Tamandua tetradactyla: one gene and its partners. The main gene of each other region encodes a partner of the protein of the gene in region 3 in a complex. Links are inferred from orthologs where the notes say so. Each region holds a gene or a part of one and is shown on either strand. Other genes may lie near its edges.

The links.
Region 1: THOC1 (region 3) and THOC3 share a complex: the UniProt entries of both Homo sapiens proteins name them as parts of the transcription/export (TREX) complex. The link is inferred for Tamandua tetradactyla from reciprocal best matches to the Homo sapiens genes THOC1 and THOC3.
Region 2: the proteins of THOC1 (region 3) and THOC5 are in contact, whole or in part, in a cryo-EM structure (PDB 7APK), measured with the Homo sapiens proteins. The link is inferred for Tamandua tetradactyla from reciprocal best matches to the Homo sapiens genes THOC1 and THOC5. Residues at the interface, in NP_005122.2 of Homo sapiens: Glu60, Arg145, Arg146, Leu147, Ser148, Ser150, Gln151, Lys285, Met286, Leu289, Val296, Tyr297, Phe298, Leu302, Ser304, Leu307, Leu310, Gln311, Ser313, Asp314; in NP_001002877.1 of Homo sapiens: Tyr52, Arg113, Lys120, Asp124, His127, Leu128, Gln131, Asn132, Leu134, Tyr135, Glu136, Met138, His139, Thr145, Lys146, Glu149.
Region 4: THOC1 (region 3) and SARNP share a complex: the UniProt entries of both Homo sapiens proteins name them as parts of the transcription/export (TREX) complex. The link is inferred for Tamandua tetradactyla from reciprocal best matches to the Homo sapiens genes THOC1 and SARNP.

Annotation. Positions count from the first base shown.
Region 1 is NC_135346.1:57,496,550-57,504,020, forward strand, and holds the start of THOC3 (THO complex subunit 3), read right to left. Parts: upstream 3,013-7,471; 5' UTR 2,958-3,012; coding exon 2,691-2,957; intron 2,053-2,690; coding exon 1,896-2,052; intron 518-1,895; coding exon 313-517; intron 1-312. UniProt on the Homo sapiens protein: Component of the THO subcomplex of the TREX complex which is thought to couple mRNA transcription, processing and nuclear export, and which specifically associates with spliced mRNA and not with unspliced pre-mRNA.
Region 2 is NC_135331.1:33,488,313-33,495,355, reverse strand, and holds the start of THOC5 (THO complex subunit 5), read right to left. Parts: upstream 3,011-7,043; 5' UTR 2,907-3,010; intron 2,901-2,906; exon of another isoform or gene 2,690-2,900; intron 506-2,689; 5' UTR 467-505; coding exon 371-466; intron 1-370. Other genes in the region: NIPSNAP1 (protein NipSnap homolog 1), read right to left, coding at 4,713-4,777, 6,027-6,110. UniProt on the Homo sapiens protein: Component of the THO subcomplex of the TREX complex which is thought to couple mRNA transcription, processing and nuclear export, and which specifically associates with spliced mRNA and not with unspliced pre-mRNA.
Region 3 is NC_135344.1:63,220,710-63,228,314, reverse strand, and holds the start of THOC1 (THO complex subunit 1), read left to right. Parts: upstream 1-4,605; 5' UTR 4,606-4,657; coding exon 4,658-4,711; intron 4,712-6,461; coding exon 6,462-6,535; intron 6,536-6,626; coding exon 6,627-6,687; intron 6,688-7,605. UniProt on the Homo sapiens protein: Component of the THO subcomplex of the TREX complex which is thought to couple mRNA transcription, processing and nuclear export, and which specifically associates with spliced mRNA and not with unspliced pre-mRNA.
Region 4 is NC_135333.1:122,802,565-122,810,143, forward strand, and holds the start of SARNP (SAP domain-containing ribonucleoprotein), read right to left. Parts: upstream 3,003-7,579; 5' UTR 2,799-3,002; coding exon 2,763-2,798; intron 1-2,762. Other genes in the region: ORMDL2 (ORM1-like protein 2), read left to right, coding at 3,061-3,194, 4,294-4,468, 4,663-4,814, 5,407-5,542. UniProt on the Homo sapiens protein: Binds both single-stranded and double-stranded DNA with higher affinity for the single-stranded form. Specifically binds to scaffold/matrix attachment region DNA. Also binds single-stranded RNA. Enhances RNA unwinding activity of DDX39A.

The DNA of each region.
Region 1 (7,471 bases), on a different chromosome or scaffold from region 3:
ATATATTTGCAAGTGGTTAAAAGGGGAAATTCCAGATTGTATGTTATCATAAAAAAATTTTTTTTTAATTCCATGGGACTATACAACACTAACAATGAACCTGTAAACCATGGACTACAGTTAATAATATAATTATAAATATGTGCTTTCATCAATTTTTTAAAATACACCAAATTAACGCAAGGTATTAATAAAGGGTGATAATGGGAACCCTTTATTTTATGCACTATGTCATTAAACCCTCTACTTCTCTCATTAAAAAAAGTTAAAAAATAGAAGGCATGACAATCCCCTCAGTTAGAATTCCCTCACCTGAGGATGTTGATACAACCATTGCCATTTGTCAGAAAGAACATGTTATTGTCATTGTTCCAGGAGATTTCATTGACCTCAAACTTGAACTGCTCCTCTGCTTTAGAACGATGTGTCTTGGCATCAATGAAAGTCACCACATCATCCTTGTTGCCTACAGCAATGGTCTGTCCATCAGGACTCCAACAGATGTTAATGTTCTCTCCTGGGAAGCCAGATATAATCAGCATGATAACCTGTTCGTCCATAATCCTCCAGATTATTTTGCTATTCTAGAAAGAAGACCACAGCTGTCCTTCAGAGGTTCATTCACTGATGTCCTAGTCAGGGGAAGGGGATTTCCTCATTTGGTCCTCACAAAGGTATACTATATTATACTCATTTTACAGATGAACAAATGAAAGATAAGAGAGACTAACCAAAGAGTCAAAGCATTAAGTGAGAGAATCAAGTTCTAAACCCAGGTTTGATCACAAAGCCCCTTATTCTCTCTTATACCAGCTTTTCCCAAACTTTTCATTCACATGCCACCTTCACAATTTTTATCTTATCCATGTATTAATAGCTATACTTTTCTTTACTCAATATTGTTTTTGAAAATGACAACAGAATTTTTTTTACTTAAACAAATTTAGCTTCATTTTTAGCAATAAACTCTACGAATGGCTATTTTCTTCTAACAGATATTAAAATACATACACAACCTTATTTTAATGTTATTCCATATACCACCTAAATCCTTCATGCACCACCAGCTGTATACTTCAGGAAAGTACTGAACCATTTCACCTTCAGGTATAACTCTTATTAACAAACTCCAATGAGCACATCAATTAAAAAGTTAATCAACCTCACAGATTCTAAGATGCCTATTTGTTCAAATTGTAATATCTATGATGCATTTTAAAATACATTAGGGTTCATCCCATAATTTTGGGTGTATCATGGTTACCTGACAGCTTTCTTAAGGGTATATAACATATCGGTGCATCCTATAACCAGACATCTTAAAGCCAGTAAAATATAATAAATGGTCTCAAGGTTCACAGGACAGTGTCTGATGAAGAACAGAGCCTGTAACTGCACTGTACAACTTTCTGGTCATTTTCTCCTAGGTCACCAAGACAACATAAGTTCCAGCCATTCTAAACTATCAATACTTTCCCAAATTCTCCATACCTTTGCACATGCTATTTCCTCCTAAAACTGCTTCTCCCATGCCCCCTCCCTATAACTTCCTCTCCCACTGTACCCTGACCACTAAATTCCTATGAATACTCTGTCAGCTTAAGTTCTGTAAGGCCTTTCCTGTCTTAAGCAGTCTTAAGCATGTCTATTCTGAGTAGCCATTTTATAGACATTTCCATTACGAGAAGAACACTTTATATTATGTTAGCTTTGCAACACATACGTCTCTTCACACAAGGCATGAGATTCTTAGAGCTGGAGAATGTGCCTTTCTCTTATTCAGCTCAGGATGTTCCACATCAAGCACAGAGCCAGGCACCAAGGAGCTGTTCAGTAAATACTTGTTGAATGATTAAAAGTAGTTTATCTCCCAACTGTTCCCTCTCAACTGTCACCTTTAGTGTTCACAGTGGCGATGCATTTTGTAGTCCTCACATCCCAAATGCGGATGGTTTTATCCCCAGATGCAGTGACAAAGAGGTCGGGATTACTTGGATGCCAACAAAGCTGGTCCACACTATCCCCATGTCCTCGATAATTGTTTTCTTTAACCTGAAAGAATAGAATTCAGATGTCACTTCACATGGATGTACCTGCCCTCCACGTGTAACTTCTAAATCTTCTTCAATCCATGCTATCTTGCAACCAAAAAGGATCTGGATAACTAAAAGGAATCCAATTCTTCCCAGCCTTTTCTTCAAAAACTCTTCTCAATATTCCCCTTCCCTACTCCTCAATTACTCTGAACTTTTTTGAGGATGGGTTACACAAAATGTTCTTACCGTTTTGCCATCCCTAGCCTTCCTCCTTCTTTCATGCTTTCCATCCTTGTTCCATCTCCAAAGCCCGCAGCGCACCTGCTCATTTCCCCAGGACGCCCTATCACTTTCATAGAGGTCCACCTCACCGCCAGTGACAAACCCCGCCACCCTACCACTGCAGCCCCTATCCAGTCCTCATCACGAACACCACTTAACCCCAGTCCTCCCCTCATCACGTCCTCATCCCCCTCCCCACCTGCACCCATCCACTCAGCACACATTCCTTCCTCACTATCACACTCCCTCCACACCCCCTCTCTTCCCTCGCCCCTCCTCACGCCACCCTCCCTTTCACCCTTTTCCTCGCCATCACACCTCCCTTCCCACCACAGCCCCTCTCCTGGCCTAGGCCGGGCCCTGGAAGCTCACCAACCGGTCCTTCTCCAGCAAGAAAACGCTGGCCGTCTTGTCGAAGGACCCCGAGGCCAGGCGGCGCCCGTCGCAGCTCCAAGCCACCGAGTGCACCTTGGCGCTGTGCGCCGGGAACTCGCGCGTCTTGCTGTGGCCCCGGAACAGTTCCTGCATCCCAAGCACGTAACGCGACGGGCCGCTGGTCACTGAGCACCAGGGGGCCAGCGAGCCGGGGCCGCTTTGGCCCAGGGCCGAGGGGCCCATAGTGGCCGCAGGGACAGCCATGCCGACATCCCTGAGGACTACAACGCGGACGCCGCCGACGCCGTACGCATGCGCCCGGAAGCCAGAAGGCCTCTGCGCAGCCGCATTAGGGCCGTCTCGTAAGAGGCTGCAAATCCCGACATGCAGCGCATGCGCGCCTTTGCGCTTTCAAATACAGGCGAGTCTTCCTCACGTTTACCTTACAATCTTCAGAGGATTTTAGGGGCTTTATCGTCCTCCTCCCCTACTCCTTGGTAGTTATATATGAATCCCTATTTAATCGAGGGAGGGAGCCAAACCTACCCTTCTAAACCCGTTTCCCCATAAATAAAATACCTTTTTTTTCTAGCATTGTTCCCAATTTCACCCTCTCCCTTTAGACCAAAAGGCTCAGAGAAAGACCCGCCAGTGCGTTGACTCGGGAAAAGGTCTCCAGTTATGCGGAGGGAGGGGAGAAGTCTTGAGGAGGAACCTGACGATTTGTTTAAAAACAAATCCTTTGTTTTAAAAGATACAACATACACTTGATTATGACGGATATAGAAGTGAAAAGTAAATGTCCACCCGGGGCCCCCCACCCCATCCACTCGTTTCCCTGTCGGCACCCCTCCCTTAGACTAGCTGTCCCGCGGCTGCTTGCTGGACGGAGATGGTGAGCTGCCAACCCTCATCAAGGCCCTAGAGGAGGGTTGTGGGTGCGGGAAGTTTTCGGTGGTGAGGAAGCAAATGGAAATTTGATTTAAAACACGTCTTTAGTGAATCTACAATTATCTCTAAAAAGCTTAAAGAACAATTTTTGTAGGTTAAAACAAATTTTATTTAAATTTAAAAAGATGTACCTGACTCAACTTCTTTACAAAACAGTTGCCAATACTTGTCCAATTTTGTAATCATTTCTATACAGAGTTGGAAATTTGGCTGTGAAACAACGTCTACAGAATATTTCCTTTAGAGCACGTTGCCATGCTAAATTTAAGCAAAATAGTGCTTAAAACTGATGTCTTTTGCATGCAAGTGAGTGTGCTTACAAACACCTTTATCCTTTATACCACTGATTAAATAATGGGAAAATAGCATTTAACTGACTTAACGAGGAAACAATGAATAAGTATTCTGTAAACTTCTCAGATTCACCTGAAATTTGCTATTACTCTCAGAAGTAGTGCCATTACAAGGTATCAATGACCACTATGTATTCAAATAAAATGAATGTTAATGAGACAAAGAATAAAAAGGAGGCACACTTTGTTGTAAGATATAGTAGGGAAATCTTATTACACTGAGGGATTATGGTACAGGCCACAAACCCCACATTCTTCACACAGAATGATGTTAATTCATCCCTTTTAAATTTAAATTAGCATCTCTTTAATAGTGTTGCCTGGATTTTTTTAAAAAACAAGGTCATTAGGGTCTCGGGGGCAATGAAATGTGGGGAGTTATTGCTCAATGGGTGCTGAGTTTCTGTTTGAGATGATGTAGAATTCTGGAAATAGACAGTAGTAATGCTTGCACGGGATTGTAAATGCAATTAATACCACTGACTCGTACCCTTAAAAATGGATAAAATGGAAAATTCCATGCTATGTACATTTTACTACTGTATGTATATATTCAAACTATGATGGCGATATGCAAAAGTGGATCATAATTCTTATCTTTGTCTGAGAACACAAATGTAGTTTAACAAAGACAGACTTTGTATCTTCAGTTCAGAAACATAGTTCTTTTCTGAAAGGATGAGTGATGAACTGATGCCATCCCTGAGAACTCCAACCACCAACTTGAAAAAGACATGACTCGATGAAGAAAGCAGTAACTCATTTGCCTCAGAGATGAGGAAGCAAAATCAGTGTCAAAGTATTTGAAAGGACAAGGTTTTTTTTTATTATTATTATTATTAAATGTTTTGGAACGTGTTCCCTGAGCTATGGATGCTTTTTATATACAGTCTCTTGTAAAAATAGATGGCTGCCCTAATTCCAAGTTGCACTTACAAATACTCTGGTTCTTGGTGCTGAAAATTGATGTTTTAATTCAAACAGCATGAACTGATAGTAATAACATCAAATAAATCTTTGGTGAAATGCAGTATTTCAGAGGCTTCCTTGCTTTGTTTCTCTCCTCATAATATTCCTAAAATCTTCAAGTTATCTTCAGAAAAGAAAAACAAGACCATAGTGAAGGACAAGCAGACCACCTTGAACAACTGCATCATCTATCACATGTCAGATTTGCCTTGGAGTCTGGTACTGCTCCAACAAGTGACCACGGCAGGTGACAGCTACTTGACAAGCTGGACCAAGACCCACTTTTCTTCTGAGGAATATTTTTTGCATGCCCAATAGTTAGTTTCAAGTTCTGAAACTTGGGCACATTTATTTTCTAAATGTTTAAACTGTCCTGTGCATTCATTAGACCAGTAAACTCCAGTAATAAAGACAATATCAAATTCAGGTAGAATCTAAAACACTGATTCCAGGATTTTCTTAGATCTTCCCTTACTTGAAGGTTTTGGATGTGGAGCAGCAGATTTAGGTACTTCCAGGCCTTATAGAAATCATGCATTTGCTTTTTCATCTCTTTCCTCTGGATGGACCACTAATTTGTAAGCTATATCTGGTAACTGTCCACCGTATGTTATAAAGAGGTTGTGATGATGTTGCATTTTAGAATCTGTTGCTATAGTAAAAATGTCTTACATTGCAGCTTTCACAAAACATATGAAGACATTTTGTGACATAATTGCGTCTGTTAAGAAACCTTCACAAATGGAACACAAGATGTGTGGGGTCAGCCCAGAGAAGATAATCAAGAGCACCTGCTCAGCCTCCCAGTCCAGTTGGCATCCCTCCAGCCTCAGCGATAAGCGCGGCTTATCTCTCCTCCTCCTCTTCCTTTGCTAGCTCCTCATCCTTGTCCTCCAGATAGCTTCTCAAGCAGCCCAGGCTGTGCTCTGGCTCCAGCAGCCTGAGCAGCTGAAGTCGGGGCTGGCAGGGAGAGGAGAAGCTGGGCTGGCATCACCATGGCTCCCTCAGCGTTGGCAGTGGTCCACTTGCCCTCCCTCACCACAGAGAAAAACTTCATGACCCTGGCAGAGGCAAGGCAAGGTGGCAGGATAGCTCAGGAGTTCTGCCCACCTCCTTCCAAATCCTGGACATGAAAGAGACTCCTACCCCAAGATTTCAGTGACTGCATTGGTATTCTCTGAAGTGTAAAAAGCTTTGTAGTCTCCAAGGATTTCTGGTTGCAATGGAGTAGAGAAAGGAAGAGGGTAAAGAAAGGGACCTCATTTATTAAGGCCCTTCTAAGAGCCACATGCTTTTGGTTTTATAAAGGTAACATGCACTTGGTAACAAATGGAAAAAGCACAAAAGGGAGCAGTGTAAAAAGTAAATCTCTCTCTCTCCCTTGTTCCCAAATTCCCCTTCTGTAAAGCAAATATGTTTAAATATCTTGGGTGGCCTTCCAGAGATAGTGTATGTGTAAGCAAGCACCTTGGAGGAGGTAGGTAGATGTGTGTAGAATTCTTTACATAACTTGCTTTTGATATACCATTCCTAGTATACATAATCATTACACACACACACGCATACATATGTATGTATATATAAAACCATTCCTTATTGGTATATGCATAGCTGCTAAATTCTTCTCACTGGATGCAGTCTTTAATGATATGGATGTATCATGGTTTACTTAACTGATTCCCATAATGGACATTTAGCATCTATTAATTTGCTTTTCAAACAATATTGCAGTGAATATCTATATACAAACTTCATTGTGCACATATGCACTTTAATTGGCTAGATATTGCCAAAACACCTATAAACAGGTTCTGACAGTCTACACTTCTATTAGCCACATGGGTGGGGGTGGGGGTGTCACAGAGTTCTGAAAACTCAATGAGTCCACATAAAAAGCATGTGGCTCTTAGAAGGGCCTTAAAAAATGAGGTCCTTTCTTTACCCTCTTCCTTTCTCTACTCTATTGCAACCAGAAATCCTTGGAGACTACAAAGCTTTTTATACTTCAGAGAATACCACTGCAGTCACTGAAATCTTGGGGTAGGAGTCTCTTTCATGTCCAGGTTTCCCTCCTTACCCTTCTTTTTCAGGAATCTTTTTCATATGCTGGCTTACAACGGTTTCCTACATCCGCTGGGGATTTATACCTTCCTATCACAGGTAAGGAGACTAAAGGACAAAGAGGTAAAATGCCCTGCTCTAGGCCACATAACTGGTATTTGACAGAGCAAAGACTCAAACTTAGATGTGACTGTTAGAAAGTTAGGGTGACTGCCAAGTTAGAGAAATCACAGTCAACACAAGGCTGCCTTCACTGTGGACACCACGTGCAAGTTCAGGAGATTCCCCACACCACCCAATGTTGAACAATTCACTAGATGGATTCATAGAACTTGTTGAGTACACGGAACTGTCCTCATGGTTACAATTATTAGAGGGAAAGGATATAAGTTAAGATCAACCAAAGGAAGAGACATATAAGGTACCAAAAATGGAGTTTCTTGT
Region 2 (7,043 bases), on a different chromosome or scaffold from region 3:
GATTCTATGGGCATGTGGTTCTGGTATCTTGGGAGTAGACCCTGGCAGGCCACATCTCCAGGGCTCCAGCGGTGTGCAATAGACTGTCTTCAGACCAGGAAAGTTGAAGACACACACTGCACTGATGTGAACAGGCAAGAATCACGTCTACTACAGGCTTGTCAGTCAGTACTTAGGATGCCACAATTAAAGTGGGTAGGGATTCTCCAGGTTTTATAGAGCCAAGGGAATTCCAGTCACCTGGTCAAGCAGAGGCCACTGGGAGGTTGACACCTGGTAGGTGCGATCCTGGGCTGCTACAGACTCACAGCCAGGGGCCTGGCCATAAGCTGCAATTTCTCAGTCGCTGGGCAATACTGGTTGATCTTACCTGCTCTGCCTCAGATCGATTGCGCTTCCCCTCAGCTGGGGCTCCATCACTTCGGATTACTTTGGGCTTCCGTTTTTTGCTCGATTCTGATGACATGGTTGTTCAGTGGGTTCAGCAGTAAACAGTAGAGACCTCCTAAGAGGAAAAAGCTTTTGAGATTTCCTGCAGTCAGGATATTGAAGTCTAACTAGCAGTTCTGCCACGTATAGACTTGATAACTCAAAAAAAGCCACTTAAACCTCCTAAAGTCCTAAAACTCAGTTTATCTGAAAAAAGGAGAATCATCTTTTAGCCTGTCCAAAATGAACTCTTCTTCTCCACTTCCACCTCCTTTAAAGTCATCATAACACACTCTGCTGTCCAAACTATCCTCGGAATCATCTTTAGCTGCTTCCTTTGCTCCATACTCACATTCTGCTCACACTCTCCAAAGAAGCATCTCTCAACCAAGTGTTCACACTGAGATGGCAGGTACCATGTGTTTTCTCCAACTCAACACCCTAGGCCAGGCCCTTGAATTCCTCTGCAAGACCGCTGTAACAGCCTCCAGTCTTGCCCAACCACTGCTGTCTAAACTCCTTTAAAAAAAAAAAAACCCAATCTGATACCTGATCTCTGTTTCAAAACCTTTGCTGGCCCTTTATAATGCACCAGATGAAATCCACATTCCCTGGCCTGGCATAAAGACCCTTTATGATCTGTCTCCAACCCACCTTCCCAAACACATTTCTTTCATCCTATTTCTATACCTTTCCCCACCACCTTCCCCAATTTCTATTCCTGGCTGCAAGTGCATGTACCACTCCTGGCTCCCCAAACACTCCATATTATTTCCCCTGCTTGAAATCACCTTTTTTCTTTTCTTCCTCTCTCAAGACTAAGCAATGCTTCCTTGCTCTAGGAAATCATTCGAGTCTCCCCAAGGCGCTCCCTCCTTTAGGTACTGTGCACATGCTATTACTGAACACTTTACCTGCCCTCCCCACCTAGACTGTGAGCTCTGTCCAATCCTCCATGAGTCTGGCAATGTGTTCCACAGAAAGTAGCTGAATTGTATCCAGACTTCTCGACCTGGAAGCATACAAGCCCATTCCCATTCCCTATTGACTGATCACTGTGTGCTAAGCCTTGATTTAAGCTCTTTCTGGCTATGGTCTCATTTGAGCCTCACAACAAACTCTTCAAGATAAGAACTAGTATTATCCCCATTCTACAGATGAGAAAACTGGAGCTCAGAAAGGTGAGTGACTTGCTCAAGATCACACAGCTAGTAAATGATAAAGCGTGAGTTCATCAATGCCCTATCAGTGTTCTTGACAATCATATGGCTGTGCCTTCCAGTTCAACAACTCCCTGCTTGACGCTAAAATTGAAAAGAATTAAACCTGGTATTTCATGGGGCTGACAAAGCACCCTCACATCTGCCAGCTCTCCTGGTTGCCACCAGAGGTCCAAGGTGGGCAGCACTGTCCCTCTGACCCCAATCCATTTATCAACCAACATCTGCTGAAGGAGCCAATAGCACATCATGACAGAGTCAGAGAACCCTGAGTTGCAGTGTCTAATGTATTATTTTCTGGGTACAAATCCCAGGACAAGTCGCCTTTTTTCTGGGTCTATTTCCTCAGTAATCAAATGAGAATAGCAGTGCCTACCTCAGGGGATTTTTGCTGGCATTAACACAGAGATGCTGAAGATGATCTGGGACTGGGGATAAGATTTTAGAAGGTGCACGGGTGATCTTTAAAAATGACAACTATCTAAGGAGAAAGTTAACCAACCCCCTTTTCAATCCTTTTTTGAATCTTCTGATTGTTTTCAAGGAGAGCAGCTCAGTCCCCTGGTGTGTCTTTAACATCTACTAATGTTAACACTTCTTTGTAAAGGGTTCTGCCTCAGGGCCTTAAATAGACAATGAAATCTGGCCAGAATTTATTAACAAGGACCTGTTATCATCATATTAAGTATATTGTTTTTGTCATTTTCTCCTACATATGACAAACGAAAGCAGTTTTCCATTCAACATAAAGACTTAAAGTTTCCTTTAAAAGTAAACAAGTTTAAAAAGTGACTCAATTTAAAATCTTTAGTCAGTAGTCGTACAGACAGATGATATACTGATTTGACAGACCCCACAAAGATAGGATCCGAAAGGCCTAAGTGTGGGATACCTAACTTTGATGACACGTAAAGAGCGCCCAGCACACGAAAGCGCCCAATAAACGTGAGCGGTTACCGTTACCATCACCACCACCACCACCACCACCACCACCACCATCTCCATCGTCAACACAGTCATTTCGAGGTTACACCGGGGACCTTGGAGATGCCGCAGCGAACACCCTCCAGATGAGCAAAACTGAGCGCTGGACACGAGCTGCCGCGAACCCCGGACAGTGAAGGTGGAGATCCAAATCGGATCCGGTAAGGGGACGCCATTCGGGTGGTCTGCGCCTTAGTCCTGGAGCACTCTGTCCCGTGCTAGGCCCCTCGCCCGGCCTCACCACCCTGTCACCCGCCCTGGTCCCCTCCTCACCGCACAGCGATGCGAACGAGTCCCGATCTACCCACTTCCGGCGGCGCACCATAGAGAAGCGGAAGGAAGGAAGGAGCGGCGGGTCAGACGCGCGGCGCGGAGGCCGGAAGTGAGGAGTCGAGAGCAGGTGCCTGTGGGCGGTCTGGGATGGTCAGCCCTTCAACGACTCTCTAAGACCAGGAAACGGAGGCTCTAAGGGGGACTCCTATGCATATTGTTTATGCATCGTTCCCCGGCGCCTGAAGCAGTCCCCCAGCAACTAGTGGGCGCTCCACAATTGTCTGATTGACTTGTCACATGCTGAAAATCACACAAGGTGGAAGCGCCAAGATTTCGAGTTCAGTTATTTGCCTCCCAGACCTGGTTTTCTAACCACTGTCATCTTCAGTGCTCCAAAGCACAAGGCTCTGGAAACATCCCACATCAGAAAGAGCAGGGGGTCAGAAAGGGCCCGAACCCCGTTTTACACTCGTTTTTTTCCCAATACAAGTTTCCCTATTTTAGACCTGATTTGCCCAGGACGGTCATTTAGAGCGTTTCCTAGTTCTGGCATGCGTTATACAAAAAGGATGTAAGATTTTTCGTGTAATCCTACTTACCTGGAGCTAGGAACATTCTAGTCCTAATCCCTAGCTGTACAGGGTCAATTTCTTCTGCCCCCGGGGAAAGCAGAAAATGCCCTGCCTAGGAGTGGCTCAGGGAACACAAAACCCTCCAGGGGACATATCAGCTAGGAGGGAATGAGAAACGTGCCGAAGTTCCTTGCAGATGAAAAAAAGACACCAAGGTTTATAGTAAATATTTAATTGGTTCCACCAGAAACTGTAGCACAAGTTTTCTTCGAAGGGAGGCAGAATCAAGCTACCCAGGGGTTCATACCCACTTCACGCACCAGGTGGCCCAGCAGAATGAGAAGATGAAGGGAGGGAGAAGGAATTCAAATGGTGGAATTACAGGTTCTGCCTTATCCCTTTGCCTACACAGAAGGGCTGAAGTTACCCATTCAAGTTCTCAACTTTATTACTTAAAGAAAAACGAATGGGCCTCTCCCCACTCACCTCGTATTTGTAATCTCTCCCCAAGTGGTGTTCTGATACCTGTTTTCTTGTTCCAATTCTGGATTCCACATCCAAATTCCAAATTTTATGATGCAAACCTAAGTTCTGAATTCTAAGTTCTGCTTTTTGGGGGTCCCTGTTTCACATCTGTCTCCCACTCCCAAATCCTTCAGGCCCCAATCTCTTCTCCTAGCCTTCCTGGGTGTTAAGTCCTGACCTCTTCCTGATCTTGCGGATCTGAGGGTTTTCAGCAGCTCTAAGCTTGTCCCCAGACTTGACTCATACTGTCCAGCATGTGGGTGGCCCATTAAGGCCAAGGAATTGCTGAGTGACTGGTCTGGTTCTCAGCACCTTCCTTCCCAACTTACCTCTAACCCCCAGACACTAACTTTTGTATGACTAAAGCTAAACTGAAGATTCCTGTGCTGATGACCAGGGGCTGGGAGTCTTAAGATGAGGAATCTTGGGGGAAGAGGTGGGAAGACATGAAAGGCTGCTGCTCTTCCCTCAGGAAAATTGGAAACTGCTTCTAGCAGGAGGGGAAGGATGAGGGCAGATGGCAGGTGGAGTCTGTGCAGAGCTGCCAGTCCACAGGCCCCAATATCCTTCGGTTCCTCCTCGCCTGAGTTGAGCACCAGCCCCAGAGAGCCCCCCAGATCTGAGAAGAAACCAAAGTTCAGGACCAGAAGCTCCACTGTCCATGGTTGTCCAGAGGGAGAAGGGGAAGGAGGCAGAGGTTGTGGCAGCATCACTGAAGAGGCGAGATCTTCAGGGGGATCATGATCCGAGACTCCATGTGCCGCACCAGGGGGACTGCAGAGAGAGAGAGGCAGAGGTCTTGGAAGGGGACTGAGATGAGCCAACCCCCGCCCCTAACTGACCTCTGGCGGGGGGAGGGGAAGGCCCTGGAAGGGGCTAAGCTTCTCCTGGAAGAATCCATGGAGATAGCCAGATCTCCCAAATTGTGGGAAAGGAGAGACTCCGGTGGTGATGAGATGAACACTTTTCATAATTAAATATTTATTTTTCTGTGTATAGGAAACAAAATAACTAGCAGAGTAAAATGTGATTTTGCAGATATTACTGTTGAGGGCAAAGGTAGTCAAAGAATGAAGTAGGGGGGAAAATACCAAGAAAAAATTGTAGTGGTGGTAGTATGCCTATAGGGCAAAAGCTGTTGAGTGTCTGTGAGTGTCCTTGAGTGGTTGAAGTTTGAAAACACACAGATTTAATCCAAAGGCCTCATTTTCAGTTAGGGAGGCTATAGCCCTGAGGCTCAGGAATAGCCCAGGGTCACCCAGGGAGTCAGACTCTTTCCCCTTGCTCAGACCTTCTCAAATTTTAACGTGTAGGCAAATCACCCACAGTTCTTATGAAAGCGCTGATTTTGATTCAGTAAGTCTGGGGAGCCTGAGATGCCACATTTCTAACAAGCCCCTCCAGGAGATGTGATACTGTTAGTCGGGAATTGCACTTTCAGTAGCGAGGTTCCAGCTAATTCCTCCAGCAGACACATCTCCCCTACACCAGTTAGTATGTCCGTGAGCTTAAATGTAAGCTCCCCAAGGGTAGAGGCAGGGTCCTGTTCATTTCTATACACCCTGCTCACTCACTGCAGCCCCTGGCACAAAGTGAGGGCTCAATCAACACCTACTGACTCCAGGTAGTCCGAAGGGGTCCCCGCCAAAGTGGCACACACCTGGAGCCGAAAATGACAGGCCCCATTTGCTGTGTGCTTCCTGTGCCTGACCCTGAGAGAGGCACCATCACCATCTTACAGATGAAAACAGCCTTAGCGAAGTTAAAAACTGTACCCGAGGTCACAGTGGGTGCTCAGATACTCCATGTCGAGGGAAGGACTGCTGGTGGAATGGAACACTCACCTACAACTGCCTACATCACATGTGCCTCCAGGATAAAAACTTACTAGCTCATTGTCTTGAAAGTAAGCTCCCCATCACTGGAGGTAATCAAGCCAGGCTAGGCCTCCTTGGAAAGAGGATTTCATCTTCCTGGAAGATGACCTCCAAGAGCCTCGCAGACCCCCAGAAGCAGCCCTTACCTGTGTAGTAGACATTTTGATCCCAGCCTCTCTTCCTCCAGGCAGCGTTTCGAGTCTCCTCCCGAGACTGCAGGTCTTTATAGGCTGTGAGAAAGGCATGCACTCATTCACTGATCCCATACCTAGCCCAAGGCCCTCCTCCCACTGTCTCAAACCCTGCCTGCCATCGCTTCCACCCCACGCACCTCAGGTTGATAGCAAAACACTGTCACAATCTCATCCAGCCCATACATATGCTGACAACTACTAAATTTATATCTCCAACCCCGCTCTCTCCTGTGGGTTCCAGACCCATATATCCAATGCCCATTTGACATTTCCACTTGGATGTCCACCCAGCATCTCAAACGTAACACTCCTGAGGGTCAAAATTGTATTCCTTACCCTCCAACTCGCTCCTGCCTACACACCCAACCCACCCCAGTCTCCTACTGTCCTTATAACTGCTCAAGCAGGAGCCTAGGAAGGCTTCTGAAATCTTCTTCTATGACCCAAGACAATTCATCTCCATGTCCCACTGGTTCTACCTCTAGATGAATGAATCTGTGGACTTCTCATTATCCTCACTGCCTCTGTCTTGGGTCAGGCCACCATCCCCCCTTGCTTGGACTTATGTTCCTCTCTCTTGCTCCCCTATAAACCATTCTCCACACGGCAGCCCAAGGTATTATATCAGAACATAAATCAGGTCATGTTGCTGCCACTTAAAACACTTCAGCAGCCTCTGTTGCATTTAGAATAAATTCCAGTTCCTCCCCACGGCCTGCCAGGCCCAGAATGATCTGACCCCTTCCCCCCTCTCCTATTCCATCTCCCTCCACCCTGCCCCCCTCTGTCCATACTAGCCTTTCTTCTGCTCCTCAAAACCCTGAAGGCCTTTCCCTGCTGCGGGGCCTTTGCATGTGCTGGTTCCCTCCACTTGGAATGCCCTTCCCCAGCAATTCATGGCAGGCTCCTACTTGTCTCCTTTAGTCCTAGCCTTGTGTTTGACTCCCTCAGAGAGGCTCTCCTGGCTTA
Region 3 (7,605 bases):
ATTCAGCAGTCATACTCATTTGTTAAATCCTATTTTCTCTGTAATAATTCCTCCTTCTCCTTTGATTCTTCTCCTAAGCTATAGGGATCTTTGGGGAATGCCCATTCTAATTTTCTTACATTGAGAAGGGGTGTCAAAAATAAAAGATGGGGGATGTAACTAGTCTTGGAGATTGGGCCCTCTGAGTTTCAGGATTTATCTGGCCTAGGAACCCTCTGGAGGTTATAAGTTTCAAGAAAGTAAAACTAGTGCATGAAACTTTATTTACAGAGTCTCAGTTAGAGCCCTAGGTGTTCTTAAGAGTTTACAGGAATGATGTTGGTTGGGATTTGGCAAGCCAAGGCAATTAGCAATATCTATCTGAAGCTTGCATAAGAGTAGTTCCCAGAATAGCCTCTTGACTCTATTTGAACTCTCTTAGCCATTGAAACTTTATTTTGTTACACTTCTTTTTCCTTTTGGTCAAGAAGGTGTTGATCCCCTGGTCACAGGACCAGTCCCATCCCTGGGAGTCATGCCTCATGTTGTAAGGGAGGAGTGTACTGATTTTAATTGCAGAGTAGTACTTAGAGAGAAAGAAGCCATATCTAAGCAACAAAAGATGTTTCCTGGCTGCAACTCTAAGGCCTTATTTTAGGTAGTCTTAGCTTCTCCACTACAGAAATAAGCTTCATAAGGGCCAGCCTCAAAATCAAGGGCTTGGCTTGTTTTCTTGAGAGTCCCCAATATTTGTCAGGAGTTTCCCAGGTGGGAAAATGTAATAATTTCATGTTTTTTCTTAGGTCCCTCAGGGGACTCTACAAATACTCTTTAATTATCAGCCCCTGTGCTGGTTTGAAAGGATGTATGTCCCCTAGAAAAGCCATGTTTTAATTTAAATCCCATTTCATAAAGGCAGAATAATCCCTATACAATATTGTATGTTTGAATCTGTAATCAGATCATCTCCCTGGAGGTGTGATTAAATCAAGAGTGGTTATTAAGATGGATTAGATGACAACATGTCTCCACCCATTTGGGTGAGTCTTAATAAGCTTCTGGAGTTCTATAAAAGAGGAAACATTTTGGCGAAAGGAGATTGGGAGAGAGCAGAGAATGCTGCAGCATATGAAGCATGAAGTCCATCAGCCAGCGCTTTGGAGATGAAGAAGAAAAACTCCTCCTGGTGAGCTTCATGAAACAGGAAGCCAGGAGAGAAAGCTAGCAGATGATGCCATGCTAGCCATGTGCCCTTCCAGCCAAGAGAGAAACCATGACTGTGTTTACCATGTGCCTTCTCACTTGAGAAAGAAACCCTGAACTTCATTGGCCTTCTTGAACCAAGGTATCTTTCCCTGGATGCCTTTGATTGGACATATCTATAGACTTGTCTTAATTTGGACATCTTCTCGGCCTCAGCAGTGTATATTAGAAACTTATTAAATTCCCCTTTTTAAAAGCCATTCTGTTGCTGGTATATTGCATTCCAGCAGCTAGCAAACTAGAACAGCACCCCATAGTCTGGGATGTACCCAGGTATTACATTATATCATACAGAATTACAAGGCCTCATTCTCATTCTGGGCACCATGTGTTCGGGTTGTTTAAATGAGCTATAGAGACAAGTTCAATTAGATTGTGTGTTACATAAACTTTAGGTTCTAGATACAATAAACCTGCCTTTGGTCTCATATGGTAGGTGAAGCTCTAGAGTACATACACTATCATCTTTTCCCTGTATTCTCATTTACCTTAGTTCTAGCCAGATCAGCTTTGTTTTTTGTCTCTAATTGAAGCCTGATCTCTTTATCAGTTACTGTTTTTGTATGCAGCAATGTTGACTTTCAGAGTTGCAGAACTCCAGCTCTGAGTCTTAGGTGTCACAAAAGTACTCAAAGTTTCAGGGAAACACCAGCTTATGCATATATAGTTCAGCAGTTCAAAGTTTAGAAATATACTTACAACTTCAGACTAAGTGTGGCTGCTAAATGAGCTTACAATATAGGCTCTAATTTTCTTATATTTTCTGAAAAAGACCATAGCATAATTGTTCTTTTGTTTCTGGCTTATTCTGCACAACACACTATCTCCAAGGTTCACTGTTTGTTGCATACCTCATGTTTGATGGACATCTTTCTTTTTTTTCACTGACAAGCCAAAACAACACACAAGCACGAACATTCTTAACATACAAATGTTCCATACATGGTATACAATCAATGGCTCACAATATTATCACATAGTAATATATTCATCACCATGATCATTTTTTAGAACATTTCCATCACTCCAGAAAAACAAATAAAAAGAAAAAATCTCATATATATACCATACCCTTTACTCCTCCCTCTCATTGACCACTAGTATTTCCAATCTACCCAATATATTTTAACCTTTGTTTCCCCTATTTTGATAGATATCTTTTAAAAATGTATTACCTACTTCCTTGCCTTGTTGAATACAACCCTATCTCAAGGGCTAAAAACCATACTGATGTCTATGAGATTCTTTGTCCTTCCTAAGCTATCTAGCCTCAGATTGCTGCTGCTTTTTCTACTGATTTTCCCGTTTTTGGTATTGCTTCAATTATTAGCAACAAAGCAGCTCATTCCTCTCCTTCCCCTCAAATATCCTGCTGGCCATAACTTGTTTAAAAAACAGTAAAAGATATTTTAAAATTTAGAACATTCTTTGGTCTCAAATATTAATAGTCTGATTCCAAATAGACTTTTCAACCCTATTTCTGTTCAGACCCCAATGCTAAAGTCAGAATAAACAACTACCATTCAAGTGCTTTCTCTGTTCCACTCCTCTGCTAAAGCCGTTCTTTCCACTTGGAATAACTTTCCTATTTGCTCCTTCCCACTCATACCTATTAAAATCCTTCAAGGTCCCACTCATGTACTATCTTCCCCATGAAGGTATTTTGACCACTTCCAGTGGTAGTCACCTCTCCTTTGATCTCTTATAATGGCCATTATCTCAACTACTCAGGATAGAAATTATATGCTGTAGTTATTTGGGTTTGTTTTATGTCAACCAAACTAAGACCTCCACAAAACAGGAATTAAGCTGTTTTATAATATATTGTGTTCTTTCAACAAATTTGTCCACTATGTGCAAAGTACCCAAGAAATATCTGAACGAACAAACACAATTCTGTCATTTGGCTTTGGATGAATGAGCCAATAAACTCCAGCTCTTCTTGTGTTTTTATTTTTCGTTTTGTATGCTATAAGGCAGGGTCACATTTCATTCTTTCTCCATGTGAGGATCCTGTCATTACAGCACCATTTGTTGAATTTTTTGGTTTTCTTTCTTTCTTTGCTTGCTTGTTTGTTTTTCAGGAAGTACACGGGCTGGGAATCAAACCTGGGTCTCCCGCTTTGCAGGCGAGAATTCTACCACTGAACTACCCTTCCACCCCATGTTTGGATTCTTGTGAAAACTAATTTTATTTACTTCTGAGATCGTTGTATTCCAGACAGTTAATAATCATCTAGATTATAATAATCATACTACATCACCATCAGATTAATAAAATATATTTCTGGATTGTATCTTTTTTTTTTTTCCCAGCTTGGAAATTTAAGTTATTCAATCAAACCTGAATGATTCTGTTGGTTTTTAAAACAGCCTAGTTTTTAAAAATGCTCCAGGTAGCCATTATTGTTCACAATCCCCATTTAGTAAGTTATCTTTTCGTTAGTTCCCTGTATTCTTGTTAGTTGTCAATGAACAGTACAAGGTTCAGTGTGCCTAGCTTTCTTCATTTATGTACATGTGGACGGGAATAAGAACCGGCAGGAAGTTTCCCGCGTTTGGATCCGTGCTTCCTTCCCCACAGCATAACTCCAACCCAGACAGTTATTGTCATTTGGCTTCTCATTGGTCAAGGTTCTTCGTGAAAAGAGGCAAGGGAGAAAACGGCTGAGACCAGGTTTTGCATGGGTCGCCTCCGCCCTTCACGGAGCGCCATCCAATTTCCCCACCAGCGCCGTGTACTCCACTCCTCCTGCGTCTTTCTCTTCCAGTGCATGTGCCAGCAAAGTCAACTGGGTTCCAAGGGTAAAGACGTTATAGTACTCATATCATTTGACAATTTATAATCCACACTTGCGCTTATTTCCTTCCAGCTTTTCGACAGCTCTGTGAGGTAGGCGTTATTCTCATTTCACAGAAGAGGGACCGCTCATGAGCTACTGGACTGCCGATATTAAATATGGACTCCGTCACCACTCCCAATATTAAATTTCAGGGACAGTAACCACGGCCGGAAGGTCCACAGTAACCTCCAAGCCTTCCCCTGCCTGAAACTTCCCCAGATAACCGCCCCACCTCGGTGGCGCGTCCAGGCCATGAAATGCCACCATCTACCCGCACGCAGGTGCGAGGCACGGCCTTTCTGCAGCCGGAAGCGGGGAGTTTAAGGGGAAAGGCCGCCCACATCCCCTAACCCCAAGGTTCCTGCCCAAGAACCCGGATTGGAACCGTTTCTGCTGACTCAGGCTTCCAACGCCCACCTGAACTCAGTCATCACGGCGGCTCCCAGCGCCTCCAGCCCGCCCCTTCGCTCGCAGGCCGCTCTAGCCGCGCGCGAAGCCGCGTTCTCGTTGCTCCCAAGCTGACGTCATCGGCGGGCGCCGCGGCGAGGTGGCGGGCACGCGCCCCCGGAAAGATGTCTCCGACGCCGCCGCTTTTCAGTTTGCCCGAAGCGCGGACGCGGTTTACGGTGAGCCTCAGAGGAGGGAGGCTGGGGGGCCTGACCCGGCGTTGCTGTTTACTCTTCTTCCCTTCAGAGTACTTGATTTTCCTCCCGGGCTAAAGAGAATTAGAAGTGGGTACACCGCTGCACTGCTCCCGGCCCCATCGGGCGCGGGGGTGTGGGTGTGGGGACAGGCACGCTACTTGGCTCTCCCGCTTCCTCTGCTGTCAGCTCTCGCCGGCTCCTGGGCAGGTGCCACGACCCTATGCTCTGAGCGGCTCTGCGCGGTGCATGGAGAGCTCATCCTCAGGACGCCTCCTGTCTTGGCCAGCTCTTCCTAATAGCTCGCTTAGCGGGACAGGTGTCTCCAGAACTGGAGGAGTTGCTGCTGAGGGACAAGGGTGGGGGTGGATTCAGTCGGAGAACCAGCTCCTGTCCGTCCTCGTAAGCTGCCAGGTGTTTGTACCGCCCACCCATTTTACCGTTTTACCCCTCCGTATCTCACTCCTTTGAGGTAGGGTGATTGTACTCTGAATGGGAAAAGGCAAAGAGAGATCTGCTTGGGATTACCAGATGTCATTCCAGCCTTGCACATTGGGGAAGGATAGTTTGAGGGGTTGGAAAACATCTTTCAGAGCGCTTTCATGTTGACCGACTTAACTCTTACAATAGCACTGTGAGGTAGGCTGTTTTTTATAACTCTTGTTATAGATATAGAAATTCACCCGCAGAAGTTGTGATTTTTCTTCACAGGTTTTTCTGGTTCCAGACCCAGTATTTTTTTATGTTGCCCATCACATCCCCTAGTATAAGGAAGCACAGTAGTAAGTTATTTGTATTCTTCTTTAGCCATATGCGCCGATATTTGAAGGCACGATTTAACTAACTCGGATATTTCATTATGTTTAGGTAGTTATAGGGATGCCAGAATGAAAATTCTGTGAAAGAAAATTGATTCTTTGTCGTCAGTTTTCTTGTTTGTGTGGTTTTTCTCCATAGAATGTAGGGTTTTTTGTTTTTTGTTTTTTGTTTGTTTGGTGTCTGTGTGTGTTTTAACCGACTGGTTAATGTCATCAGAACTCTTTTCCTTGAGTGCATTTTTCTGTAATCCCTAGTGCTCTGAAATTCTGTTAAGAGTAACTGTTAGGAAGATCACAAGAATCCTGGAAGGGACCATTTAATTTGAGATCATCTAGTTCAGTGCTTCTTAAGTTTTAATGTGCAGTGGAATCACCTGGAGATCTTGTTAAATACAGATTCTGGGTCTGGCATGTGGTCTGAGATTCTTCATTTCTAACAGGGTCTCAAATGATACCATTGCTGCTGATGGTAGTAAGAATTTACTGGTGAGGAAAATGAACACAGAGAGACTAAGGGATACGCTCAAGATTACACAGCTGATTAGTGACAGAACCAGGAATGGAAGTCTCTAGTATAAATCTAACTCTTCTGGGGTAACAGGATGAAAAGTCAAAGTTAAAACATGAAAAGAAGGAGCCATTTGAAGATTTTTTTAAAAAGCGAAATACTATCATGAAGGTGATATTTAAAGGGGTGGTGAAAGGGGAAACCTGGAGTGAGAGAAAGGTCTTGCTAGGAAGCTCTTGCCAGGTTTAAAGTGGCATTTGGGATAGGGTTTCCTGAAAGACTGATGGGTGTTTTTTACCCCGGTATTAACATTTTTTAGTGCAAAAGACATACTAAGTTATATCAATGAATGATTTTCGGTAAATTGGAAACAAAATTTTTCCACTTTTTGCCGTTTTAATTTTTCTAGAAGTCTACCAGAGAAGCCTTGAACAACAAAAATATCAAGCCATTGTTAAATACCTTCAGCCAATTACCTGGCAGGTAAGTCAGATATTCATGAGAGGTGCTTGGCTGAATCTATATACTTAACCTGAACTGTTTTAAAACTGAGGTTGCCTTTTGTTTTTAATAGTGAAAATGAAAAAAAATGTACTCTTGACCAAGCTTTCAGAGGAATTCTAGAAGAAGAAATTGTAAGTATGTTTTTCTTTTATTCACTGTTAAAATTATACCAGCAAATTAATAAACTATGTGTTATTTAAAAAATTGCCTTTATTTTAGAATAGATATTTAAGCATGATTATTTTTTCTAGAGGATGCTTGCTACTTTGTGAAACTTGACTCAGTCGTAGTATAGGAGTTATGTAACACTTAAGATTTTGACAACACAGATGCATTTAAGAATTTGGTTTAATACATGAGGCAGAGCCCTCTCCAAGTGAGTAGAAGGAAAGTTGATCTGAGGTTTTACTAAACAAGAACTAGAGGTTTGAGGTGGGTCCTCTCACTTTGCTGTATAAACAGCAACGTATGCTATAGTAGCGTGAAAGGTTCTAGTCCAAGGACATTCAGAGTGGGATCTGGGATTCCGTGCCCTCATTTTCATATGGCATCTTCCTCGTTAGTTTGCATACATAAATAGTTAGAGCCTATCCAGCTTCAGTAGAGGAATTTAATCTAAACACCACTGGTGGTGCGCCACAATGAAAGAAAAGGAAAAGTTTCAACAGTTTATTCTTGATTTAGTGAAGGTTGGTCCCTAAAAGTTAAAATCCCTTTTAGCAGTCACAGTGTCCCTCCCTCTGACAATTCTGGATCATACTTATTTTTTCTTCTTTTTCAAACTTAATTGTTTAGAGGCATTGGACAAGTTACTTTGCTTTTCTGTGCTTCAGTTTCATTTGTAAGGGGAGATAACATTCTTTCAAGGTTGTTGTGTTAAAGAAAACTTGTAAACACTCAGTGGATACTGGTTTTTATAATTATAAAACCCAAACACTGCCTCCCTTCTATTAAAACCTGTTTTGGGGTGGGCAGTGGTGGCATGGTGGCAGAGTTCTGGCCTGCCATGCTGGAGAGCCGGGTTCAATTCCCAGTGCCTGCCCATGCAA
Region 4 (7,579 bases), on a different chromosome or scaffold from region 3:
TTCCTTCCTTCCTTCTCTCTGTCTTTCCTTTAAAAAAAAAAAAAAAAAAAAGTATAATAGTGACGTTTATCTTTTAAGGCTATTGTGAGAACTCAACCAATCAATTATCATATGTAAACAGCTTCCATCAATACTGTTAATGAACACAGATATTATGAGGAAACAAATATGGCCAATGTGGTTGGGCTGTGAGAAACGAAGCTGGAGAGACCAATAGGGATATCATAAAAAGTTTTATGCAGAGTAGTGACTATTATACTAAACATCTAACTGATGAAATCGCTCCCCCTGCAGACTCCATTCTCCATACTACCAACAGAAAATAAACTGGTCACATCAGGCTCTTCCTTTCAAATTTCCAAAGACTAGCCCCTTCTGCCTACACGACAAAAGCCATATGCCCTACACGACTTGGTAAGACCCTTTATAGTATCACTTACTCAACCTTTATAGGCACATAGTTCACCTACTTTTCCTTCCAACCTCTAACCACTCATAATGGGTACATTATGCTTCAATGATACAAATGACTCACTGTTTTCCCCTCTGTAAGAACCCTTTTTTCCACATTTGACTGGAAATCTGGTACTGTTACAGTTTAAAAGACATTTTCATCCACAATTCTTTCTCTTTCTAGTTGTGTTAAAATGACCACATTTCTGTAAAATCTTCAGACTTCAGAAGTCAGCAGTCAATATGGACTTTCACATCAATTCGAACAGATAATATATATTTTTTCTTTCTGTTTCAAAGTTTCTTCCCTTCCTTTGAGGTCCCATGCTAAAGTCCCTTATAAAAATGGAGACTTTCTTTAAAAAGAGAAAACCTGAAGTCAAAGCAAAAGTCAGGATTATTCCATCAAAATTACCAGAAAAACCACACATTAACTAACCTGGAAGTCAGAATTAAAGGTATGGGTTCTTAACCAGAGGTCCATGGACTCCTTAGGGCTACAAAGTAGTTTTATGAAGCCCCTCAATTGCATGCAAAATACGTGTACATGCCTTTTTCTGGGGAAAGGGTCCATACCTTTCATCAGAGTTTCAAAGATATCTGTGACCTCCAAAAGGTTAAGAAGTGCTCTAGAGAAAAAGCAAAGACAAGCAAATGTGATTAAAAGAGTGAGTCCTTTTCAGGCTGTCGGGAGTGCCTCAAGTTCTCTTAAATTATAATGCCTGAAATCAGATGAGAGGACATTTTGTAAAAGTGACTTAACCAAACAAATGCAAATTTAATACAGATCTAACAGATTTGTCATCCATAAAAGCAAGTCACAGGGGAAGCTAGTAATTTACTCCAGGGATTTCAAAAATGGGATAAATAAGAAGAAAATACTAGATCTTCAATTCATATTTCCTTTTTAGCCCATTCATTCAAAAATTCTCTTTAATGTATATTTTATAACATACATAACAATACAGTAGTATCTATGTAATTTATATATGAATAAGTATACACATAATAGCAATGACTGCTCAATTTTTTTCTATTCATCATGATAAATATTAGAACACTGATATAATTTACATGTTTCAGTACCACCAACTTAACAGTAACTCCAGAACAACAAAAAAACTCACTATAAAATTTAGAATCCAAGGTTAAAAATACATCAGCTTTCAAAGAAAGGCTAACTAGTGTCAACTAACATGTGATTAAAGAAGTTCTCTCCCTATTCTTCTCCCCCTTAAACTACTGGTCATCAAGCTCTGAAGGATCAGTTTTCAGCTGTGGATTAAATCAGCCTGGTTTGTCCAAAAGACCCAAGATTAAGTGACCAAAACATGTGATGAGAAAACTATCTGTGAAGCCACAACCGGCCAACTAATAAAGCCACTCTCTTAATTCACCCTAAAAGAACCTACTTTTTCTTCCAGGTAAATGATAATCTAAGTGTGAAAAAGCTATCAAGATTCCCAAAAGACACATCTTGATACAGACACAGAACTTGACACAGAACTTGAAATAGGTTCTGTGATTCGAAGTGCCACCAAATAGTGACACCAAGAGATGCAGGATCTAACGGTGATATGAAATGAGACAAAAACAACCCCAGCCTTGGAGTTGTTTTTCTACAGGGCTGCTATTGTAAGTTCTCTCGGAGGAAGCATGTATGTGTATGCTGTCGGGGGGGTGGGGTGGGGGGTGGGAGGGTGTAAGTGAGACAACTCGAAAAACTTATAAATCTAAGGTGTCAGTGCACTGACTAACTCTTAAACCCTCCTGAAGCCCAAGCCTCAACCCGGAGGCCTAAGGCCTTAGGGTTCAAAGTTCACTCAAGGGGGCGTAAACCCACTAGAAAAAGGAGTGGAAGCATTTTCTGGATCACATTTGGGACTCAGAAATAAACAAAGGTGCCTAGCTAACAGGGAAATCTCAGCTATAGACAACAGACAGGGAAACATCAACCCAAGGAAGAAAAAGGGGTCCTGGTTCCGGCAAGAGGAGATGAGAAGAAAAACCCTGACGTAATGGGGCGCTGACAAGAGACGAGAAAGGGAGGTGATGGATGGTACAGCCAAGAAAGCCAGGGCGCCGAAATAACAGATAAAGATAACAGTAAAACCGCAAGGAGAAATGGGAAATTAGGGAAGGCGTAGCGGGGAAGAAGGGAAGCACAAAAGAAAAACCAGCTAACTACGGAACGAGCCGGAAAACGAAAAAGAAAAGACTGCAGAGAGAACGAGAAGAAGGCACAGCCCACCGTGCAAAACTCAGCTGCTAGAAATGTCCAACCCAACCATTGCCCCGCTTCGCAGTACCTTCAGCTTATGCAGCTCCACCGTCTCTGCCGCCATCTTGTTACCCCCTCCACTCGCTGCCTCCGCCTCCAGGAGCTCCCGCCTAGGCGCAGAACCATGACCGACCAATCGCTGTCACTCTTACTTCCACCCCACACCATCAGCTCTTCCCATTAGTTAATAGCTGACGTCGCTCTAGCTCCCTCCTCAACTATCCCCACCTCTCTCAAAAGGTGGGACTGGGAAAAGGACCGGTTCTGCACCCTCCAAATGACGGAAATGGCGACCAATTGTGTGTTCCATTGCACACCGCCAACCAATGGGTGGTGGCAGCGCTAATTCTGTTCCACCAATAAGAAGAATGCAAATAGGCGGAGGACTGCTGCTTCCTGGAGACCAGAGGTGTGGAAGCGAGCGCCGTGCACAGGCCGGACGGGCCACTGAAGCTGGCAGGTAGGCGTTATCGGGAGACTGGAAAGAGGGTACTGAGTAAAAATGGAGAGACAAAAGGAAAGTGGCGGAGGTGCTCTGAAGGGTTCCCTAAGGGGAATCGATTAATAATAGAGGGAAGCCAGGAAGAGCATGGGACGGGGTCAATATTAGGATTTAGGGAATTTTAGATAGAGGGGTGGCAGGCAAGGGCCACTTCCTAACCAGTCGTCAGCTTTACTTGCACTGTTTTAGAGCTGAGTTCAGAGGACCAGAACCGACCCTAGAGTAGGGGCTAGGGCTCCATGCCTCGAGGTATTGAACTTGGGTCCCTTTCTAGTCCTTTAGAAGCCCAGGGGGAAATTCCTGCAGCACCCCACGCTTGAGAGAAGGAATGAGGATGTTTGTTCCTTACGTGCAAAGGAAATGAGACAGGGTGGACAAGCCCCAGAGGAGAAGATGGGAACTAGGAGTAGCTTTACCTCCTCAGCCCTCCTTGATTGAATCCCAGGACCCTCTGGGAAATCTAGATTTGTAACTTCTCTTGATTTATTAACTTTTTCAGGATAATAAAGTGAGATACTCCTAAGTGTCTCCTTTTCCTTGAAGCAGGTACCCCAAGCCTAGGCATGATACTTCACATTAAGTTGAACTGTGAGAATCAGAAAAAATACAATAATATGTCTCTAAAATGTAGGGTGAGCTTCTTGCCTTTGAAAATTTTCCCCAAGACTATAGTTTTCCCTTTGTGCATGATTGGAAAGTTCTTTCATTCTCAGTGGAGTTCAGGGGGGTTTGGCTATTCAGGAAACAATTGGGAAACAAGCTCAAAGGAGCTTAGAGGAGGGCGGGCCGCGGTGGCTCAGCGGGCAAAGTGCTTGCCTGCTATGCCGGAGGACCTCGGTTCGATTCCCGGCCCTAGCCCATGTAACGAAAACGGAGAAACAAAATACAATAAAACAAGAAAATGTTTAAAAGATGTTTCCCTTTCTTCCTCTCTTCCTTCCTTCTATCCTTCCTTCCTTCTCTCTGTCTTTCCTTTAAAAAAAAAAAAAAAAAAAAAAAAAAAAGGAGCTTAGAGGAAATTGAACTATATTTCTGCCTGATTCTCCAACTGTAATAGGATGAATGTGGGGGTGGCACACAGTGAAGTAAATCCCAACACTCGAGTGATGAATAGCCGTGGCATCTGGCTGGCCTACATCATCTTGGTAGGACTGTTGCATGTAGTTCTACTCAGCATCCCCTTCTTCAGCATTCCTGTGGTCTGGACCCTGACCAATGTCATTCATAACTTGGTAAGCACTAAACCACACTCTTACACCCACCCCAAGCTTTCCCCAACAAAAATAAATCAATTAATAAATAATAAAATTCCCAATTATTTGGGGATTTTTGCCTTCCTTTAGGAATCAACCATTTACTACCTTAGCAGAATTCTTGAGTTGAAGGACTACTTTCTATTCCCCTCACCCTGTCCCTTCTCTCCTAGGCTATGTATGTCTTTCTACATACGGTGAAAGGTACACCCTTTGAGACCCCTGACCAAGGAAAGGCACGGCTCCTGACACACTGGGAGCAGATGGACTATGGGCTCCAGTTTACCTCTTCCCGCAAGTTCCTTAGCATCTCTCCTATTATACTGTGAGTTTGGAAAGGAGGGGTAATGGGCAATGCTGAATTGGAAAGCACTTTAAAAAGCCAGCTACAAAAACCCACAGGGAGGCATTAAAGCAGACTACCTATCTGAAATATCATGGTATACTAGTTACTAGGGAAAGAAGTAAAAAGTAGAAGCTAGTAATTAAGCATTCCTTGCTGCCTCCCTTGATGATAGGAGAATGGAAAGGGACTGAAAAATGATGAAACACCAAATAAAATCAAATGACTTTACACTTCCAAACAGAAGTGAATAGAGACAGGACTGATGTGAATCTATGAAAACTGTGGGGACTGGAAACAAATTAAGACTCTTAACATTCATATAGGCTGAAAAAGCTTCAGCTGTCATTTGCCACCTGTCATTAACAATGAAGAAACACATAATCTGATTTATAATCTCCAGTTAAAGGTGCTATCTTAAGATCTCTCCAACCCCAAAATAAATAGTGTTGCTATGGCTGTAATGTTTTCAGATGTCCTAAGACTATATGCAGTAGAACTGGTAATTTAAAATATAAAAGGAAAGTCACTGAAAAGACATTAATATGAATTCATTCTTTTTCTTCTCTCCCAGCTACCTCCTGGCCAGCTTCTACACCAAGTATGATGCTGCTCACTTCTTCATCAACACAGCCTCGCTACTCAGTGTTCTGCTGCCAAAGTTGCCCCAATTCCACGGGGTTCGTCTCTTTGGGATCAACAAATATTGAGAGAGGGGACTGGGAACAGCTCTGTAGGCATGGAGAAGACATTGGAACAAGGGCTGTTAACATCCTTCCTCCTTCTTTATATTATCTTCATCTTGAAAGACTGAGAACTGTACAACCTTTCCCAAACTCCCAGGAAGAGAAGAGATTGGAAAATGGGGCTCCCTGGCCCAACCCTGCTAGGAGTAGGTTTCTTTGAATCAGCAAAGGCAGGTGAGACAAGGGCCAAATCTCCACAGCAGGAACCATGTATGTGCAGCTTATTTGGTGATTAAATTTTCCATATCTTCCACATACACACCCCTTTTCCAGCTCTGTTTTGCTGTGTATTTTACTTATAATAAAGATATTTTTTTTCAGATATGGCTACAATTGGTTGGCAGGAAAAGTAGGGAAAGAGAGAATGATGACTTACTATATTAACTTCTCTAAGACTACTTTTTATCCTCTCTCCCGTGGTTCAATAGGGGGTGCCCTTCACTCTCGGCTAACTATGGAAAGTACTCAAATGAGAAAAAGAACTACAGTTAAATGGACAAAGAAGAGAGGGAAAATACAGGTTGCCAGTTATATATTTATAGAAAGATAATCCCCTGGCTTTAAATAGATATGTACATACAAATATGAACAAACTTAAAAAATACAAACCCTAAGATCATAAGGGGGCTGCTGGGAACCCCCTTATTTTTCCCCCTCACCCAAGGGCAGAGGGGTATGAGTCTGCTTTTAAAAAATGATTAATTTTGGCCATCCCTGCAGCAACAGCAAGCCTGTAATTAGGTGATTATACACAAAGGTGAAAGTCAGTGGATGGAAGAACTCAGAGTTCTCTCTCTCTGAACTATACATCTCCTATAATTTGGGCTACATGCTTTCTTGTTCTGTCTTTTAACTAGTCTATAGGGATGAGGGTGGGGGAATTCACTCTTGAAATGGGTCAAGAAATAAGATAAACTCAGTTTAAAAAGAGAAAAAGAAAAAAAGTGTCATCTGCTCTAAAAGCAAAAGACAGGACAAAGGCATACAGACCCCAGGGAAATAACCAGTTCCCACACCACTATAGGATATATTGTCCAGTCAAGGTTGAGGCCCTAGGTTCTTTGCTTTTAGCCACCTCCTATTTCTTTGGTATTGCCAGAAGACAAGATTCAGTTCCTGGGTGTTGAGGGAAGAGAGCAAGTGGTTCAGGGACTTCCTACAAGTACTAAGTAAACAATTTGAGCTTAAACTTTTCCCTTTTTTAAATATTTAAAAATAAACAAATCAAACTCCATCCTGTGCTGTACACAGCCCTTTGACTCCCTGACACTGATTTGAGGAAAGAAGAGAAGGGGTGTCAGCGTTGGAAGGGCCTCCTCACTTTCTTCCGCCGCTTCGATTTCGCGTCTCCCTTAGGTACTGTGCTGTTAGGCTTGGAAGGAGCAGTGGCCCCAGGGCCAGGCTGAGATGCTGCAAAGAAGTTTCCATTGGACATTTGGCCTGGTGGTACTTGAAAGATCCGGTTCAAAAAATCCTGAAGGTCAGCAGGAGGGGCATATGGGGTGGCTCTAAAAGAGAAATAAGAAATAATGAAGCAAGAGATGTTGCTAGAGTCATTTGGTTACCTGAGTTAACAAGACTGAGTTCCTAAACTTCCTGCTAGATGTCCTAAACAATATGTCATCTGAAACCATATTCACAACTAGAATAGTGGATGGGTGATTGAAGAGAAATACCACCTACCTCTGACGCCCACTGGTGCCTGGGATCCGGGAACCAAATGAAATGTGATAGGGGACTCTATGGGTATCTGGGGAGATTCCCACACGCTGGCATCCAGCCCACTCTGCAAACATATGATATAATTAGCCAAAACATTAGGTGAAAGCAAATATGAGATCAGGAAGTATGGGTCAATACTTCTAGAGGACAGAAGTGTACCTGTGATATCATACACCTTTCCATCCATCAGTGCAAAGTAGGTGATCTTCAGGCCCAACATGCTTGACTCTGCCCAAAAGTCTCCTTCCTCTGCAGGATGCAGCCTATTGCACTCAGCAC